Drosophila melanogaster: one gene and its partners. The protein of the gene in region 1 interacts with the protein of each later gene in a pairwise test. Each region holds a gene or a part of one and is shown in the gene's direction. Other genes may lie near its edges.

What was found. The genes of interacting proteins can lie anywhere in the genome.
Region 2: the proteins of RnrS (region 1) and C15 interact in a two-hybrid assay, tested with the Drosophila melanogaster proteins (one large-scale study listed by BioGRID).
Region 3: the proteins of RnrS (region 1) and Acp29AB interact in a two-hybrid assay, tested with the Drosophila melanogaster proteins (one large-scale study listed by BioGRID).

What each region holds. Positions count from the first base shown.
Region 1 is NT_033778.4:11,982,628-11,987,294, reverse strand, and holds RnrS (ribonucleoside diphosphate reductase small subunit), read left to right. Parts: upstream 1-1,901; 5' UTR 1,902-2,028; coding exon 2,029-2,079; intron 2,080-2,227; coding exon 2,228-2,476; intron 2,477-2,984; coding exon 2,985-3,866; 3' UTR 3,867-4,150; downstream 4,151-4,667. Other genes in the region: rho-7 (rhomboid-7), read left to right, coding at 1-14, 69-268, 333-423; CG34231 (uncharacterized protein), read right to left, coding at 581-834, 888-1,032, 1,132-1,224; GalT1 (beta1,3-galactosyltransferase 1), read left to right, coding at 4,571-4,667. UniProt on the Drosophila melanogaster protein: Provides the precursors necessary for DNA synthesis. Catalyzes the biosynthesis of deoxyribonucleotides from the corresponding ribonucleotides.
Region 2 is NT_033777.3:21,498,146-21,503,019, forward strand, and holds the start of C15 (C15), read left to right. Parts: upstream 1-1,840; 5' UTR 1,841-2,112; coding exon 2,113-2,285; intron 2,286-4,108; coding exon 4,109-4,524; intron 4,525-4,874.
Region 3 is NT_033779.5:8,391,922-8,395,131, reverse strand, and holds Acp29AB (accessory gland protein 29AB), read left to right. Parts: upstream 1-1,909; 5' UTR 1,910-1,920; coding exon 1,921-2,625; 3' UTR 2,626-2,676; downstream 2,677-3,210. Other genes in the region: Peritrophin-15b, read left to right, coding at 251-260, 328-599; lectin-29Ca, read left to right, coding at 862-1,572; CG42820 (uncharacterized protein), read left to right, coding at 2,837-3,210. UniProt on the Drosophila melanogaster protein: Responsible for physiological and behavioral changes in mated female flies.

The sequences.
Region 1 (4,667 bases):
TGTCCCTGGGTGCGGTAAGACAGCCTTTATTCCACGTAGTATCTATAAACTTAAAGCTCTTCCCTTAGTCTGGAGCTATAATGACACTGCTGGCCTATGTATGCACCCAGTATCCGGACACACAACTTAGCATTCTCTTTCTACCCGCGTTGACATTCTCCGCTGGAGCTGGTATTAAAGTGCTAATGGGCATCGACTTTGCTGGCGTCGTGATGGGCTGGAAGTTCTTCGATCACGCAGCGCATTTGGGCGGCGCCATGTTTGGCATGTAAGTTTGGCGTGTATGTTTATACCATCACAGGTTGTCTTATTAATCCTACGGTAATTTACAGCTTTTGGGCCACGTATGGGGCACAGATATGGGCAAAGCGCATTGGTCTACTGAATTACTACCATGACCTGCGCCGGACGAAGCAGAAATAGTACAGGAGGCTTGGGGATTCGCCAAGTGAACGGACGGGGAGCTGAGGCAATAGAGCGGTAGCGAGTAGCACTACGCTGTGTCAATAAGAGTGACATCGTTCTGCCTTAGAAGTTCATTGAAATCAGTTAAGTTGAATAAATCGTTGACATCCTGTACTCATGTGGTTTCCCGGCTCTTTTTTGGAACTTGTGTTTGATCCTTCTGATTTCTTCGAATACGAAAAGCTACTTCGTGCCTGCGCTGCTGAATCTTCTCCCTAAGTTCCTCAAGGGATTCTCGTTCTGGAGCGTATGATATGTGCAAGATTCCACCATAGAACTGATGAGCATCGAGCATTTTCTTGGCTCTTCTCGCCACCTCAAGGCGCTCGAACTTCACGGCAAACACATCTGTAAAAGCTTCCAGATCCACTGAAACAAAAGGAACACTATATAAAAAAGATCTTGAACAGGGATAATCATACTTTTTGAAGCCATCTCTGAAGTTACCGAAATACATGATTGCACTTTACCAAATCCTTGTAGTTTCGTCCTGAGATTAGCTTGAAGATTTATTTTAGGTACCCCAAAGATCAGCAAATGACGGGACTCACTAGCAACTGTATAAACCTACAAAGGATAAAAAACACAATAAAAGTACAATAAAACATTGCTATTACTATAAAGCTATTACTAAACTATTACTACTAAACATTACTATTTCCCCACCTTGACAGCTTTCAATTCGCGGCCCTGACGGTATTTCAATCTTGTAGTGCAGTATTCCAGACGTTTGTGGTGTTCAGAAGAAGAGGCTTCCATATTCAGGATATTAAAAACAAAACTACAACTAAACGGATTTGTTTATTATTATTTTCAAGTCCACGATTAAACGTACTTATCGATAAATATCAACAGCCAGCTGTTATGTTATTGTACTGTTATTTACATGATTCGCTGTAATGGAATTCATTCAAAGTTGTTGAATTGAGTATGTTAGCACCTGTTGCATTTCCAAATAATTCGAGATTTCCAAAAAAAAAATTAATTTTAAGTCAATGTCCTTGGAAAAAAATTTTAACTTTGTTTCACCTTGATTTTTTATCTAATTGTAGCAAGAGGACCAAATTTTTTCACTCAAAACTAATTAAGTGGCGTTTCATCAGCTGTTTTCTGGATTAGTCTAGGGTTGTCTCATTGCATGAAATATCGATGATAAAAAAATTTCAAAATTTATTTAGTATTTGAAACTATTAATATTAATATTTTTCAAGTGACAAGCTGGGAAGCTAAACATAAAATTGTGCAGTAAGGATTCGATTTATGGTTTAAGAAAAGAAAACTACCACCCCATAATTGCATTAGATTTACCCTAAATTTATAAAAAGTGAATTGACGCACTCGACAGCCCTGATTTTCCCATAGTTTTCCCATCACCAAAAATGGCGGCAAATCGAAACAGTTTGCCGCCCGGCATAAAACCCAATGTAGCTGTATTTCCCAGATCATTTGCCACACAACTTTCAAACTGTACACTTAATACACGTCGTGGTTTAAGTGAATTTTACCAGAGAATCAGAGAAGCGCCCCTACCTGCTAATAATAATCCATTCAAAAACATCTCAAATGGCGTCCAAGGAAAACATTGCTGACAACATGGAGAAGTTCTCGCTTAAGGTAATCGACACGCAAATAAAGTTCACAGCTATACATAGACGTAATACCGCGATCAGTGCGCTTGTGTTGATTTCCCTAGGGAAAAGTGCTACGCAGCGGAAAAATACTCATGCTTTAGTTGGCCTTCTTTGTTTTTCGTTGTTAACAGAGCCCGAGCAAGAAGATTCTGACGGATAGCACCAACAACGTTCGCAAGATGTCCATTGGACACGAGGCAAACGGACAGTTGGCCAAGGAGTCCTCCACCGTGAATGGCATCGGCAAGTCTGCCAATTCCCTCATGGAGAAGTCCGTAACCCCCTTCGACCCGTCGCTGGAGCCCCTTCTGCGCGAGAATCCCCGACGCTTCGTCATCTTTCCCATCCAGTACCACGACATCTGGCAGATGTACAAGAAGGTGTGTATACCATACATATAGCAAAACACTGTCCATTTGCATTGGTGGTGAAAATCTATTTTTTGGGCGGCAAAATATCAAAAGGGCGGGCATTTCGAGATAAAGCGCGCCAAAAGCCGGTCACGTACTCAACGTGGTTGATTACACGAATCAGACTTTATGATAGCTTCGTTTGGTTAAACAACCCCCTCCCACATTTCTCGACCCTCCCTTTCCGCTGATTCACTGCATCACGGTTTACTCAATGTCAACAATAGCCTTCGTTTTTGGCGGGAAATGCAGCACATAACGATCACATACTATACCATTTTATGTAGCCAATTACATTTCCCCGCCGCTTTTAATTGCTTTGTAGTAACTTTGTTTACATTTTAATTGCATTTTAATTGATAAGCTCGTTGTGCACGATGACATTTCTTGAAAACTTGTTAAAGTGGAAAATGAAAAATAATAAATTTATACAGTAATTATCTCTTTTAAAATTGTAACTTTTTTTTTTAATGTGCAGGCTGAGGCTTCTTTCTGGACTGTCGAGGAGGTGGATTTGTCCAAGGACCTTACTGATTGGCACCGCCTGAAGGACGACGAGCGCCATTTCATCTCGCACGTGCTTGCCTTCTTCGCCGCCTCCGACGGCATCGTAAACGAGAACCTGGTGGAGCGCTTCAGTCAGGAGGTGCAGATCACGGAGGCACGTTGCTTCTACGGCTTTCAGATCGCCATGGAGAACGTGCACTCGGAGATGTACAGTGTTTTGATCGACACTTACATCCGTGATCCACACCAGCGAGAGTACCTGTTTAACGCTATCGAAACGATGCCGGCTGTGAAGCGCAAGGCAGACTGGGCCCTGTCCTGGATCTCCTCCAAATCGGCCAACTTCGGGGAACGCATCATCGCCTTTGCCGCCGTGGAGGGCATCTTCTTCAGCGGCAGCTTCGCTTCCATTTTCTGGCTTAAGAAGCGAGGTCTGATGCCTGGATTGACCTTCTCCAACGAGCTTATCTCTCGCGACGAGGGCTTGCACTGCGACTTTGCCGTGCTGATGTTCCAACACCTGGTGCAGCGACCCAAGCGCGAGCGCATCATCGAGATCATCCGCGACGCGGTGGCCATTGAGCAGGAGTTCCTTACCGATGCCCTGCCCGTCAATTTGATTGGCATGAATTGCGACCTGATGTCCCAGTACATTGAGTTCGTAGCGGACCGTTTGCTCGTGGAGTTGGGCGTTGGAAAGATCTACAACACCAAAAACCCCTTTAACTTCATGGAGATGATATCGCTGGATGGAAAGACCAACTTTTTTGAGAAGAAGGTGGGGGAGTACCAGCGCATGGGAGTGGTCAGCAACCCCCTGGACAACGTGTTCACCCTGGACGCGGATTTCTAGGGCTGGCCCCGGACATCATTGTTGCAATTTAAACCTCTCAAGGGCTGGCTTCTCATCCTTTATATTTTAATCTGACGGCAATTATATGTAGTCCGTTTTAATTTTAACATAGGCTAAGAACAATCACAGACCTTCAACACATTCACCTAATCATTTACTTGGACCTCCAATTACGTTTATAATACTATCTACACACTTGACTTTTACGAGGAGCGTACCTTTTCCGAATTCATTGTACATACAACATTTTAAATAAATTTATACATAGACAATTATTAAGCACTACAAGTAAAATTGAGTTTTAATTATTCTGAAAAAAATCTTCAAAAATTACTGTTTATGCACGATTATATAATAAGAAAATCAATTTCAAAAAAATTTATAAAAAGGATTGGGAAAATTTAAGAATTTAAATAATTCGAATTTCAAATTTTCGATTTCAGTTATATATATGGTAGGTAAACTTATCGATAGTCACGGGCATTTTTACTATCAGCTGTGCTGAACAATCCCATTCGCTGTTTTTATCAATTTGGATAAAATTCTTGTTATTCAGTTATTACCATAAAAAGTATTAGATGTCAATAACAGGAGTGGGCGATTAAATCAACCCAATTCAGCTAGGCGCCCTAATAGTTGATAAAATGCGAACAGTGCATTAAATTGTAGGCGGAGGACCAGTGGCGATAAGTGAATCCAGTCACATGGACAGAAGGTGGAATCCAGAAAAAATCGAGGAGCAGAGCTCCCTCTTGGCAGCGGAATATTCCTCCAGCTCGGGAGCAGCTGCTTCCGGATCCG
Region 2 (4,874 bases), on another chromosome or scaffold:
ATGGAGTTCGCCTCGTGACTTTTTCCAGAGTCCTTTCCACTGCCAAGTGGTGTGCGTGTGCTTTTGTGTGCCTTGCCAATTGAATATGCAGTAATTGCCTTTCTTCATTTTTGGCCATGATTTTTTGCTCGTGTCTGACACAGAAACATGGCCAGTTAAGTGCAGAAATGAATATTTATAGTCGTTACTTCTAGGATCGGACTCCGTTTAAATGCAAAGTGAACGGTTTGATTCTGCAGCCCACTCTCAAGAAAAATTGAATAATAATCAAATTATGAATAATGATATTATAAAGATAGGTAAAGATATGTAGATATAATTAACTAACATAATTTAACATTGAACAAAAAGCTGCATATGCAGCTTAAAACCAGTGATCAATATGTACATACATTGGCACTCTTTTAAATCACAGAATAGTATTTGTGAGGTACAATATAAGACCTTAAAGCAAATCATGTTTAAGAGTAACCAAACTGTGCAAGTAGAGATATAGTAACCCTTTATTATGAAATATAGATATAATTATCCTCTGACCAGTAGCGAATCTCCTAAGCGTAGTAATGCATTATCCAAGTTATCGCAAATAGGATTTGGGATTTTCATAACATTGCCTTATTCTGAAGGGGTTCACATTCCACATCTCGACTCAGCTATCTCAGCTAATGAAAACGGAGTACGCAATCGCTTCTGGCCACACACACGCATTCCATCCAGGCCGGCTAGAACAACACCTGAAACTGAGACTAAGACTAGGACCGAGATCCCGGCCAGCGATGAGCAGTAACATGGCTCGTGCCCAAGAAAAACTGTCAATTAACCCGTGGGGTGAACTTGTGGAAAATGCCAGAGCTGCTGCATCCACTGCATGCCGCGCAATTTGCATTCGCATGGCCGGGGCAAATGGATTGGATTCCTGTGGCTTCAGCTCGAGTCTGCTTATCGCAATCGCCGCCTGCCAAATGCCAGGCGATAGCGCGTAGAACTCTTGGCGCTAATAAAGATCTCAGTAGTAAGCGGTGTGAGGTGGTGAGGGGTGACATTAGGCGGTGGTGCAGGGCAGCCCTCCTGGCCAAATCCGCTGCTTTGTGAACTCAAGCTGACAGAACGCTATTTCCAATTGTGCTATTAATCTGCCACATTTGCACTTCCGCGGAAAAGAGTCGGCGGGCGGATGTGATCTCTTTCGCTCGTCAGTTGGCTGACTCGCTCTGCAGGGGTGATTTGCGGGCGAGCGAGTGAGACAGAGCGAGGCAGAGTGGTAACGCTTGGCTAACCTGAAAATAGAAACAATCGAAATAAAAATACATTCTCTTCATGCTCTCGTCTAATAAAAAACCCCAAAAGCAAAACGTTTTCCATTTAAAATGTCGTCGCAACTGCCAGCGGGAAGTGGACGTCGAGAGTGGCAAGTGTGTGGGGCAAACTCCGGCCAGCGGCCAATGGCGGTTGGCCGAGGCCACGCCCCGTGGCTCAATTACCGACCAGTGCTGCCCATCGGCGGGCAGAGCGAAACCTGTTTCCACGAGCGAGAGGCAGTCAGGCGCATGTGCGATCAGAGCGGGATGGATGGCTCAAGGGTGGACCAACCAGAAGAGGCAGGTTGCTGGTATTATGGTAGGTTAGGTTCAAACAAGGTGGCAAACTGGCTCTTAACCGAAATAGGAAGGAAGTCGGCAGCGGCGTCGACGTCGGGCAACTGGTTTGACTTGTTTCCGGCTCACTCCAACAGCCCAAACCCACCAGCAATCGGCAGAGGCAGCCAAGTCGGCAGAGGGCAGGCAGAGCAGCGGCCGTCGGCACAATTTGATTGCATTTATGAAAAGCGTTTTCGCCCGCTAGCACGCGTCCGCTCCCAGCTCGCAATTCGCCATCCGTAATCCGTAAACTTTAATCCGTAGACCGTAATCCGTGAATCCAAAGCAGTTCTCAGTTGGAATTTCCCGCAACGGGTAGTGCTTAAGCGCGGAAACTGAATTGAAATCAATCGGACGATTAGTGTGTGCTTCGCGGTTGAAACACTCTACATCTAACTATTAAGAGAAAAGAGTGCCCAATAAGATTCGAAAAGTGCAGTGAGCGAGCTCCAAATTGGCGCCACTAATTGCCAAAATGTCCAGCCACGAGGAGGATGACCATGAGCACGAGAACGAGCACGGCGAAGAGGTGGAGGAACAGGAGATCCACGTGGATGTGGACTCGGACTCGCGGATGTCATGTGGCAGCGGATCCGATGTGGATATGGACGGCGGCAGCTGCTACGACGAGTCCGAAACGCCATTGAGGTGAGAAGGAGAGCTTTTAAATAGAACCAGGAAGTAGGAAAAATGTCCCAAAAATATAGATATTATCAGTATAGATATACCATAAATAAGCAGATCTTCCAATTACAATAAGACTTCTACATATACATACATATATTATTTTTTTAACTAGATTGTGATAAAATGCTTTGGCTTCCGTACTACTTACTTAAAACTGAAGAGGCCTTTTTTTTTAAAATTCATTTTGGTAAATATTTTTCAAATATGAATAACGTCTGAATTTATGTACGTTGCAAAATCGAACAATAAAAAATATTTTTGGTTTAATTGTATCGTAAATAATCTGCTACACTAAACTTGAAAAGAGATTGCATCTCTATTAATAATAATAATGGCTTTACTTTCAAATTATACGATGTACAAACATAATAATTGGTCTGAAACAATTCATTACGGAAAATCCCCAAAAAAAATATATTAAAGAAAAAGCTCAGTTTTTCGTTTACTCTTGATGGTTATGATCATCATGCAAATTAATAAATATTTTTTTGTAAGTACTGGGCTTGATTTAGTTGGCCACATTATTCGTTAATTACTCATAAGTCAAAATTTAGATCGACAGCAATTTGATCGACTAACTGAGAGAAAAAGATCTATAAGCTATAGTTATAATAGTTGGCATACAGTCTTATTTTATTGCCCTATAAAAGTCAAACAAGTATTGTGGCGGAGAAAAGCTATTTGCATTTGTTATTACGAGCTCATAACTCCCACTGTTTTACGATCTTTAACATTGTCACTCATAATGCTCACAAATCCTATTTTTCGAATCGTGGCTCAACGCCATTGAAATGCGTTGATGTTTAAGCCCCATTGTCCGCTCTTACAAATGGTCCCATTTTCCAGCGACAAAAGGGGATAACAAGATGCCAGAGCATCCAGCAGACCGTGTTAACTGATCCCATTCAAGCGTTTGTGCGCTTAGAAGAACAGTGTGAACAAACCTCTTAAACGCTAATGAATTGACCACAAAGCCACCAAAAGAATCAAGTCGAAATGTCCCATAAAGTGCCAAAGAAACTCCCTGAATTTACATAGTTCACGGATGGCCAGGGTTTCCAATAGACGACGACGATAAAACGCACATTAGTAAGGCGCCAAAAACGGGCTGTGATAAGACATTGGGGTCCATTTGGGGCTCAATCTGGAGTTGGATCTTCGGCTTGAATGCCGGACAAAGACGAAATCGTTTGTCGGATTAACATTTTAATAGAGATCGTCATAAAAATGCCATAAAACCCGCGTTCCAGCGAATGTAGATCACCAGATAGCAGCAAGTTTTGGCCAGTGAAATAATATGTGTTTGCTCATAACTTTTGATATTGGAAAGTGTCTGTGTGTCGGTGGTTGGCGATTTGAGATCATTGTTCCGATACAATTCCATTCCTGTTCCAAATGGGTTTTTACTTTTTGGATTTATAAATTAAATGCCGTGCGTGACTTGTTTTCGGTGCGTCAGTTGATGGCATTTGATGATTTATGGGCGCGTATTAAATGCCTCTAACGGCCGTCAGCATTTGCATAATTACTTCATTTCCAGCCGCATTGCGTATACGCAGCGGTGGCCACACGGGTTCTGCATGTCATGTCGTCAACTCGGCTTATCCGCTCGCGTGGGCTTTTGGTTAGTGGTTCCGAGACTGGTACGCACTGCAACAGACTTAATTATAGTCAATGTTCTCAGGCTTTCCCGCTTATCGGGCGACACATTTTAATGAGCCCGCACCTCCAGAGGGCTTCTTTCCCTTCGATTCTGATGTCTTTTCTCCGGTTTTTATTCCCAGCGAGTCCCTGCAGTCGGAGCAGACGCGCTCCTCGTCCAGTGAGAATCTGCCCTTCAGCATATCACGCCTGCTATCCAAGCCCTTCGAGACGAGTCACCACCACCACAACAACAACAACCACCTGCTCAGCAGCAGTCCGGGCTCCAGCAGCAACAACAACAACAGCGGCGAAAAGGGCGAGGAGAAGGAGCTACTGCAGCAGGAGGACCACGACCTGGCCTATAAGCTGGCCACCAGCATCGCCAACTCGACATACGGAAGCGCCGCAGCACTATACTCGTATCCGCATCTCTATCCCTCAGCGGCCGGCGGTCATGTGCTACGTGTACCGCCCCAGAGAACGCCGCTCACCTGGGCACTACCGCCACTGCATCACGCGGCGCTGGCACATCAGGCGGTCAAGGATCGGTTGGCAGGTGAGTGAATAGCAGCGAAGTCAAGAGGGTTTGCCAAATCCAACCCATTCGGGGCCCCCATGTCGGGATGGCCCATGTTCGCCGAGATCTTTCGGGGGAGCGATCCTCCAATGACCCGCGGTGGCAATTGCTACTGTTCCCCAAATAAGCACGATCAGAGAAGACTTTTAAGGCAACATGCCTATCGGCATGTCATTGTTGGCCAACACATTCGTGCACCAAGAGAAAATGTGGCATTTGAAATAAAAGAATTGGTAACATTAAGAATAAAAATGTTATATATGTGCCTACATAACGCGTAGTTGGATGCATTCAATTGTGCAATAGGGTGTAGGAACATAATTTTAAAC
Region 3 (3,210 bases), on another chromosome or scaffold:
ACACTTGGTGAAATATACTTCTTTGTTTGAAAACGAATTGTACGACGGCGTCAAATGTTCGAATTGTCGAGATACAGATACCAATCGTGATCATGAGATTATTTTTAAACGATTTCATGTTCTTTAAGAAATAGAATGTATAGCTCCGATTGTCTCAGACAATATGTCAGGGAATAGATAGCAGGTGGCTATAAAATGTCGAACGTTGCGTTCCAATCGCATTCGGTATTAATCACTCGAACAAACCACAATGAAAGCAGGTGAGTTTCATTGATGACCTCACATCGCTGAAACCATTGAGATGCCAATAGCGGAATTCTGTTTCAGCTTTAGTCCTTCTCTTCCTGACCCTCTGCGTTGCCATCTACGCCGACCTTGACTGCAATCCCGATGGCAATGGTGAGCCCGATTGCGTGGGACGCTCCGGAGAGATTTCCCGTGACTTCTGGGATCCAACCCACTACTGGCAGTGCTCTAGCACCGGACAGGCCGAGCTAGTTGCCTGCGAGCAGAACACTGGATTCGATCCGAAAACTGGAAGCTGCGTCGATTGGAGCGTTTGGCAGTGGTATCCTCCATGTTCCGAAGCATCCACTTAAGCAATAAACTTCTCTTGCAGTTTATACGTTTTTCATTAACTTTTTTTGGTTCATTTGTAATGGTATTTAACTGGGAAGATGGGCTTGAATGAAGTCTAGAATATATCTCTAGATTTCTCGGATCTTTATCGAATTTTTAACAGAGTATTTAATGCTTGAAAAGGTTAATGTTCCGGGTGATTATCTCGTTGGGAAGTGTAAAAAAAAGGGTTAGTCCGAGGAGGAATTAAATAATTGATCTCACAGACTATTAGCCCTCGAAATGTACAAGTACGCAACTTGCATTTTCTCCATTTTCGCTTTATGGAACTTTTGGGGCGTCAGTGCCAAAAAGCAGGATACTTCCACAGGAACAAATGAATTGCCAAAAGCACCAATGCCGTATTATACAATCGAGAATATTGATATGCACCAGCAGCACTGGTTTACCTACAATTCGCTAAGACAAAATGGAACTTTGTGGAGAATTGGTAATATGGAGCAACGCTTAGAAATGCGATTGCAGTCCTTTCAAAACCAGATGGAAACTAAACTTCGGGCTCTAAAGCAACAAATTGAACCCTACATGGAAAACGTTAAAATGTCCAACAAAATCAAAATGTCCGTATTCAAGAAGATTGGCTCCCGGCACTTTTACTTAGAAAAGCAAAAGAAGATGCCCTGGGATAGCGCATACGACACGTGTCGTCAAATGGGCGGTCACCTGGCGAATATCCTCGATGAGAAGGAGCTGAATGAAATATTCTCAGAGGAAACCAAAAAAAAGTACTGGGTAGATATCAACAGCCGTGCCAACGATGGAGCGTCCTGGATTTCTACACTATCCGGAAGGGATGTACCATTTCTGAAATGGAAGCCAAATCTGGCCACAAATATACATAACCATTGCGTGTATATCAATTCCAATGAAATGTACTTTGAAAATTGTGCCAATGATAACTATTTTGCTTGCCAAGCCGAGCAATGGGCCTGAATATCGAGCATTGATTTTTAGAACTATTTTAAACTTTAAATGTGACTTTGATAATAAAGGTTTAAAAATTGAACTCCTTTAAACTTTAATATGTATTTTTTTTAAATCATCAAAATTGCAATGTGTCTTTAATAATAAAGCTATTAACTTTAGGCATTTTATATTTTTTTTTTTCAATACACCATAGTAGATTTTCATTTTTTTTAATTTTTCCAGCCTTTTTGCTTTTCACAGTGATGCTTTAAAACGGTTACATTATCATTAAAAAGCGTGACAAAATTAGTTGAGCTCATTGGAAGTTCTTTAGCCAGATTGGATCTCACACGCTTGAAATCTTCCAAACTGGACATGTACGCATCTAACCTCTTATACCTGTTGGCATTATGGAACCTTTGGGATCTCAGTGGTGGGCAGCAGGACATTCCGAACGGAAAGGCTACATTGCCAAGTCCACAAACGCCGCAAAATACAATCGATCAGATTGGTATTAACCAGAATTATTGGTTTACATACAACGCGCTTAAACAAAACGAAACATTGGCAATTATTGATACAATGGAAATGCGCATAGCAAGTAGCTTGCTGGAGTTTAAGGCCCAGATGGAAATCCAGCTTCAGCCGTTAAAGATTATAATGCGACACCATGCATCCAACATCAAAGCGTCTAACAACATCAAGATGAGACGATTCGAGAAAGTTGGCTCCAGACATTTTCACATCGAGAAGAATCTAATGCAAACTTGGTTTGAGGCATATGTCACATGTCGTAAAATGAACGGTCATCTGGCGAACATCCAGGATGAGATGGAGCTGGATGGCATCTTGGCGTTAGCACCCAACAATAGCTACTGGATAGATATATCCAAACTGGTTGAAAATGGCGGCACATTCGTCTCCACCCTAACCGGACGAGAACCCTTCTTTGTCAAATGGAAGAGTAATCAGGATACAAAAAAAAAGAATCAATGCGTTTACATCTATGCTAAAGAGATGTCCTATGATGAGTGTTTTGAAAAAAAATCTTTCGTTTGCCAAGCAGACCAGTGGGCCTAAACATAAAGAAAATATTGTTTTGTAGCTTGAATAAAAAAAAACAGCTCGTTTAATGATTTTATTGTATATGAACACAGTGTAGACAGGTCTGCACTGAGTATTATTTCCAAATTCACTCATTCAAGCTATTTGCAACACCCACAAAATTTACCAAGTTTCTTAAATTGTTTGTTCTTCGTTTTACTTGTGAATTTATCCACTTGCTAGGAACATGGTAAAGAATACAGGTGTTGATTTGGGACTACCCGTGGCTAGTTGGTATCGTGGTCTATCGCTCGATCAGATGCAGGCGGCCGATGAGCTGGGAACGGCACTGCAATTCGATATTAGGTCCATTCGGGATTGTCTGCTGCGCCTGGGAGTGCAACCTTTGATCAGAAATCGTGAACTCCATAGAATTTGGCGTTTCAGTCGTGGCCAGAAACTGGCCTTTCTCTACTTTCTATTCCAGGAGCACTACGACACCGGCACTTCGTGCGGAAAGTACTCAGTTAATGGACAACTTCTGCTCTCGGCCATCGCCTATCTGGATTTGCCTGCAACTTTTCGAGCTCTAGACAAAGTGCTACCTCTACCCGGTGTTTT